Linked DNA regions of Drosophila melanogaster. The protein of the gene in region 2 interacts with the protein of the main gene of each other region in a pairwise test. Each region holds a gene or a part of one and is shown on either strand. Other genes may lie near its edges.

What was found.
Region 1: the proteins of CG11180 (region 2) and CG14302 interact in a two-hybrid assay, tested with the Drosophila melanogaster proteins (one large-scale study listed by BioGRID).

Annotation. Positions count from the first base shown.
Region 1 is NT_033777.3:18,730,874-18,733,566, reverse strand, and holds CG14302 (uncharacterized protein), read right to left. Parts: upstream 887-2,693; 5' UTR 862-886; coding exon 855-861; intron 782-854; coding exon 573-781; 3' UTR 533-572; downstream 1-532. Other genes in the region: Mekk1, read left to right, coding at 1-138, 203-289.
Region 2 is NT_033778.4:20,620,376-20,625,344, forward strand, and holds CG11180 (uncharacterized protein), read right to left. Parts: upstream 3,055-4,969; 5' UTR 2,929-3,054; coding exon 2,856-2,928; intron 2,800-2,855; coding exon 692-2,799; 3' UTR 539-691; downstream 1-538. Other genes in the region: CG9945 (uncharacterized protein), read left to right, coding at 63-169, 233-373; FAM21 (family with sequence similarity 21), read left to right, coding at 3,241-3,342, 3,400-3,594, 3,655-3,794, 3,845-4,969.

The sequences.
Region 1 (2,693 bases), on a different chromosome or scaffold from region 2:
AAAGTGGGCATGGGCGAGAAGCCGCAGGCACCGGAGAGCCTATCCCAGGAGGGTCACGACTTCATCGATCATTGTCTGCAGCACGATCCCAAGAGGCGTTTAACGGCAGTGGAACTGTTGGAGCACAATTTCTGCAAGGTGCGTATGCCTGTGGTTAGCTCGCTGCCAAATGTTGCTAATTGATTTTCGTTTCCATGTGCAGTACGGTCGAGACGAGTGCAGCAGTGAGCAGTTGCAGATGCAGGTGCGAGGCTCTTTCCGGCGAAATGTGGCGACCAGCAGCAGCTAGGTGCAACGTGGTGTCTACTTAACTAGCTTGCGGTTTTTTTTAGGCGCACCCCTACATATGATGCATATGTACATCGGTGTGGATTTTGTTTAGTGTCTAATTTATGTGAATGTCGATTATTTGAATGCCCTCGTCTGGTTTTATGTTGGACAATATATAACCCGTATAAAATAATCAAATGCCTTTCCGTACCGTAACCCCCACAATTCATTCGATGCAAGTGAAAATTACACGTATTTTAATATATTTGCGATTCAGTTTTTAATTCATCAATCGATGATGACTATCCGTAAATGGGATAGATGGTCGACGTTTCTGGCGTGGCATTTGTGGTCTCAGCCTGCGGCGGACCAGAGAATCCCGTGCTAGTCGTACCATCGACGGGAGCACCAGTTGGCGGAGTTGGCTCCGGGGTGGCAAGACTGGAGAAAGCCGACACCCACGAGGTGCACAGCATGAAGGCCAGACAGAGGCTAAACAGCAGGTTGAAGACTGCAACGAATTGAGCCGGTTACTCGAATGGTCCACGGATTGCGTTGGCGGTTACTCCTTGTACGGTACTTACATTTCATGTTGACGGCGTTTTAGAGACTGTTGAAGTGCCCAGAACGGCCAGGGCCTTTTATGGAGAACCACTTGGCCATGGGTATCCATTGGTATTTTATTTAATTAATTTATTAAAACACTATTTATCTGGCATTGGCTTATCATTATTTATTTATTTATTTGTTATCGTATTTACCACTTGGATATTAAGAAGTGCGCAGCTCGGATTTTCATGACTGTTTCAAGCGGAAGACGACTTATCTATTCTTAGAAGTCACTGAAAAATACGTGGCCAATTTGACCGTGCGCCTTATCCAAATCCATATACGTATGGAGTATTTTCATTCACCAGCAGATCAATTGTAGGTCAGGAATGATGGTGGTCTTGGTTTGTAATGCATTTATTTCAATTTATTCGGTTCGTGATTATTTATGCATACATTAATTGCGGCTCTTGGCCATATGGAAACGAGTCAAACTTAACGACAGTACAGAACAGTATGGTAACGTAATGATTGATACACAGATCGAATAATACAGGTAAGATAGATAGTTAGTTGGATAGTACGTAGTGATAGTTCGGTTAACAGTTTAGAAGATAATCATACATATAGTACATATATAGCAACAATGAACACAGCAACTAGTTTGATATAAGTATCTGGTTGTCCTTTAACGTTTCTCATATATTTTCCATTGTAAATAACATACGTATAGTATTTATGTATATAATATATTCTTTGCAGATTATTGACAGCTTTGGTGGATCGCCATCGAAACATCTTTTTTTTTTGCTAACGGCTCGAACAGACAAACAAACACACATAGGTTATATATGTATCTATATCATTCTAAATCGTCCTGCGCCGTGGGGCATCATTTGCCTTCCTGGGATGTATATAAATTTATTGATATGTATTGTTACGTCTCAAGTCTATACGCGTATTCTATATATTCCTCTACATTCATTTCATTATTCATTTACGGGTTGTACATACATATATTATTATATATATATATATATATATATATTCATCCAAAAAGCCTTTAGTTACGGTATACCATTTGCTCTCTAAAACACGAATATATATGGAAATATATTAACAGACATTATATAATTCTTTTTTTGTAATAAGTCCTCAAACAAACAACGAAATTGCAGTAACAAGCGCAGATAGTACTTTTAGTATATGCTTTAGCTAGTATCTTTTGTAACAACTATAGAACGTATTGTATTTGAAACACAACTTTCGTAACGAAAAGTATTGCATACTTGTGGGCTTGCTTGCCATAATTCGCTGACAGTAGGGGTATAAACAAGTTCGTAAGCTCTGCTAAGTTAGTTAGTGATTGGTATAACACTCATATTTAATATAGCACAATTAACACACTTAGATAACAGCACTAACAATTTGCGCATAAAACGGCTCTAAAACATTTAATTGACTAGAGTTGCTCTAATTCAAACTACGAGGATACTTTGGTAACGGATATGTAAAGCGAATGGGTTGCGTATAGTTTTCTTATTTCTTTTTTTTTGTGTTTTTTTTTTTGTCTCAACTTGATAGTGATTGACATCAGTTTTCGATTCCGATTTCGTTATCGTTATCCATCTTATTCCTCAGATGCCCACCCCTCGTTGGGTGGCTCGCTTGGTGGTGCTTGGTCACAAATGAAACGCCCGTGTGTGGTCGCTAGTTACACTTACTTACTTTCGTTCGCTAACCTGCTTAGGTACATTAACTGATATGTTTTTTTTTTTTCTGGTGGACCCCAATCCTAGCGACATTCTAGTCTAGTTCGTCTAGTTTTGCAGTAGATCACGCATTATGTCCAGCGAGTCCTGCAGCGATTTGGC
Region 2 (4,969 bases):
CCATTTCTGTGTTTCCGTTGATAAACATATTATGTTTTCAAAATAATCCAATTTTCTTACAGTTTATGATGTACTTACTGGTAAGATTCAAGAGGCTATTGAAGGACATAGGACTGTGATAAGAGATCTGGACTGGCATCCGGATCGCTCAGAAATCGTGTCTGGCTCGGTAAGCATCGAAATATGAGTAATATTCCTCTGAATAATAATGCACACTCAACTGCCTACGCAGTGGGACACCCATGTTCACCTGAACAACTTCAGCCGCAGCAACGCCAATCGTCCGGTAAAGCGATCACATAGCTCGGATCATGACAAAAAGCCCCTGAGAAGATCACGACGTTTGGCGAATCGAAATGTTACACCGGACTAGTTGTAAGGTTTAGAGTATAAGCTAGTAAGGTCCCCTTTGATATTACATTTCGTTACATTCATTCATAGTGGCTTGCCTAAGCGACGCACGAGAATATTCACCACAGTCGGGCCGGCTGGGATAATTGGTTCTATTAAATAAGACTGAAGAATATGTCACTCACTTGAAATGTATAGTTCAGTTTAATTAGTTAGCGTGTTATACAAAACAGTACATTAAAATGTAAACCATGAAGCTTACCAACTACCTACTTAAGTTGTTTATGTACAAAAACAATCATAATAAGAATCACGTTGAAATATATTTCGTTTGCTCGATCTAAATTCCTTGAAAGGCGACTCTCTTCTTGACCGCTCGTATGCTAGTTCTTTGCACCCTTACCGGATACTTGCTATGCTGTTTGCTTTTAAAATGCTCAACGGCTTTGTTTTTCCAAAGGTTGCGAATGCGCGTTTCATCGTAAGGACAGTCCACCACATTTAGCTCGACGTTTTCGCTGATTCCGTAGCCCACGATCTCGCCCAGCGACGAATTGTGAAACGCACTCATGTCGAACAATTGAAATTGGTCTGCACAGAATTTAGAGATATTAAAATGATTGAATGATTTGAGTTTTTCTTGGATCTCTTCCAGGGATAAGAGGTCCTTAGGCAGGTCTTCATCGGCTGACTGAACGCTTTTATTGCCGGAATTATTCTTGTCAGCACTTACGTCGTTCCTATCTTCGCCTCCTGTGTCCTTTCGATTATCGACAGCCGCCTCCACGGCGAGCGCAAATGAGGTGATCTCCAGTTTAGTCGAGGGCTCCGCAGACGATTTTAATTTGGATTTCTTCTTCGATTTCTTTTCAGTAGCTTCCGAGGCGGGAGGTGTTTCTTCTAAATCTTTTTCATCATTGTCCTTACGCTTCTCTTCCTTGGATTTCTTTTTCTTCTTAGACGGAGCTTCGGCTGTTAAATCTATGGTAATTTCTTCCTGAATTTGAGTGGTTTCTTGACTGTCCTTAGATTTACTTTTATTTTTAGTTCTATTTTCATTCGAAGTATGCGATTCATTATTTCTGTGTAAGTCGTCATCATCGATTACAATTACTTCGTCGGATTTCTTAGACTTTTTCTTTTTTTTCGCAGCTGGTTCTTCTATCGAATCTTCTGCAATCTCCTTATTTTTATCTGACTTTCTTTTCTTTTTTTGGTCACTCTCTTCTGTTTGTATCGACACTTCTGCTGATTCCTCCTCTTTTTTGGACTTTTTCTTTTTGGAGGAAGTCCTTTCACTTTCCTCAGTGATTTCCGCCATCTCTACGCAGTTGTTGTCCGTCTTCTCGGTTTCATCGACAGACGATCGCTTAGATTTCTTCTTTTTCTTAAGTTTGGGAACGTCCTGCTCGATTTCTTCCACAGCAGTTGGTTGCTCGCTAGTCCTTTCTTTGCTTTTAACTAATTTTTCCTCAACAAAGTTGTTCTCCGACTGCTCAATTTCATCGAGAGACGATCCCTTCGATTTCTTCTTTTTCTTAAGCTTGGGAGCGTCCTGCTCGATTTCTTCCACAGCAGTGGGTTGCTCGTCAGTCCTTTCTTCGCTTTCAACTAATTTTTCTTCATCAAGGGATGATCGCTTTGATTTCTTCTTTTTCTTAGGCATGGAAGCAACCTGCTCTGGTTCTTCCTCTTTAGTTGGTGGCTCGTCTGCCCTCTCCTTGTCTTTCTTTTTTTTCTTTTTCTTGGAAGTCACTTCATCATTATCTGCTGAAATCTGTTCAAACTTTTCAGCATGACCATTGGTCTGTGCCTCGTTGTTGTCTTCAACTTGGGAGCCTTTCTTTAGTCTGTTTTTCATGGCTTCCATTTTCTGCTTGAAATAATCAGTGGTCGACAGGCCCGTGACAATTGTCTGCACGCCAGCGAAGTTGGGGTTTGGCTCCTCGGGTTGGACAGCCAGCACGGGTTCTGGATATCTCTCGACGTCCTCAGTTGCCTTCTTGCCGAATATATTGGCTAGATCCTTTTCGCTGTACAGAGCCAAGTCCTTGCCGCGTGTGAACTTCTTATAGTGGACGCGTGCCCTGCTCTGCTTCGACCGCTCCTCCAGCGACATTCCACTGGTGTTCTCCTTGAGTTTCTTCTTAGACGGCTCCTCCGGTTCAATGGCTTTGAAGCCAAAGCCCATAGGTCTGGCCTCCTCTTCGGACTCCGGCTCTTTGTCTATGCCGCCGCTATCTTCCCCATTTAGCGACTTAAGCAGCCCATTGAAGCCATCCTCGTGTACAGTCCACTGATCATCGCGCTGCTCGAAACCCAATCCTTCTGCGTCATTTTTAAAGCGAATGCGCACAAAATCCTTTTCGCCATTCAGATTGGCGCCCAGGCCACTGCCTTTCGTCCAGCCCATTTTCTCCAGCATTTTGGTACCGAAGCGATTTTCATCTGTTAAAGTTTAAGAATTTACGATTTACCAGTCACATTTGGAGTTTAATGCTCACCTTCATAGAGAGCCTTGCCGCGCGGACACAAGTTGTACTTTTTGCGCCGACGTGGTTCAGCCAGCATAGCCATTTTAGTCTATAATTATTTATAATCTACTTCGTTTTAAATGTAAATTGCGGATAACTAACAAAGATACAATTCGTAAATTGCGAACAACCCAACACGTGCTATCAAATATCGATAGCAAGTTTAAACAAGATATATCGATAGCGATTGTCGAAACAGCTGCTCAGCAGGCTTAGGGATGAGCGTTGGCTGTGCGCTGATAACAGGTGATTAACTATCGCTCATCTCTATTTGGGTGTCATTACTAAGTTTGTTGTTGTTGCTCTTAATTAGTTGTTATTATTTTCTGACTTGCGAGCTTGCAGTCGACTGATAATGGATATAAGCGCGGATGTGGATCAGATAATAGCCCAGGCTCCGGACTGGACCTTCGCGGGCGACTGTGCTCTGCTGGCGCTGATGAAGCGCATTTCCCAGGTTAAATTCACATACGTGCATAGATAACAAGCCAATTTGATAAAATTTTTGCAACAGAATCTGGAAGAAAGGGGCGAAAGGACCAGCCGCAATCTGCGAGACTTTGAGACGAGCGTGAAGCAAGTGGATATAGCGCTGAACAATGCCACTACCAGCCTGCGATCCCTGCAGTTTGGAAATCAGTTCGTGGAGTATCGGGTGGAGGAAGTGGATGACGCAGATTTGGCCATGCCCGAAGAGAAGAAAAAGAAGGTGCAATAAGCGATGGAATTTTGCAGGCTGCTGTGTTTACAGATCTTAATATGCTTGCAGCCAGAGCTGCCGCTCAAGAGTTCCGAGGAATTGGCAAAGGAGTTTCTGGAAAACAACCTTCGTATGTTCCGCAAAAACTACGAGCCGGTGACCATAGAAGTGCCCGATTCGGATGATGAGGATGGCCCCGTCCACTCAACGTAAGTGACTACACTACGATTCCGATCCATACTAACTCCACTTTCCACAGAACCGTATTCCGTGCTAAGAATCCCTATGATGCGATACCTTTGCCCTATATTATTGGTACCAAAGAGTGGCAGGAACACAAGTATGCCGGGTTGTATGACAGTAAGGAGAATAGTGAAGATGACAGATCCGAGGAATTCTCCTCAAGCTCATCGGACGAAAAGGAACCCGAGACCAAAAAAATAGCAACGCCAGCGAACAAATTAGAAGAACAGCATCTGTCTGACTCCTCTTCCCTAGCCTCGTTTGCCAGGGAACCGGCAATCGTGTCGCCAGTCATTAACCCTGCTGTTCAGGTAGCAGAGCCTGTCATCAGAACACAACCGCGTCCAATTATAAACAGTCAAAGGAATCCACATGAGAGGGACATGTTTGCTGCCCTCCGGCAATCGCCGCCTAGCGACGACCCGCCATCCACATCGTCATCGCCTACATCTTCACCAGCCTTTAGGAATCCATCAAGTCGCCTTCCAATCGTATCTACTGCATCGCTTAGTTCCAGTAGCAGTAGTCCTGCCCAACAACCTCCTCGACTCTTCGACGAAGCTGTTTCAACCCAAACTCCGAAGGAGGCTGAGATCAAGCCAAGCCAAACAAAGCGCATGCCAGTTAATCTTTTTAACGAAGATGAGTTTAAATCCTTCATGTCCGAAATCGTGGACAAAGTCCAGTCAAAAACACCCAGCAGCTCCGTCTCCCCAGCAACGACAATTTCAACAAAAGAACCACCCAAAACTAAAAAACCCGTGGAAGAATATCCAAAGCCAGGGCCGCCAAAGCAGATTGTTGAGCAGACAGTTCCAAAACGTGTAAACCTCTTCGACGACAGTCCTCCATTGAGTCCAACTCCGAGGTCAGAGCCTGTTTTTAATAATACTAAAGCAACGGGTGCAATACCAAAACGGAGTCCAGTTGTAGTGGCCAATAATGATGAAGATAACTCGCTTTTTGGTAGTTCTCCTGCCATGCCAAAGGAAAATCCTTCCAAAAAGCCACCTAAACCGGTAACCAAATCTCTATTCGATGATGACTTGGAGGACGACGACTTCTTGAGCTCCTTTACGCCCAAAGCAAAGCCACCAGAACAAAAACTGCTCTCAAAACCAAAGCCCTCCTTATTTGATGA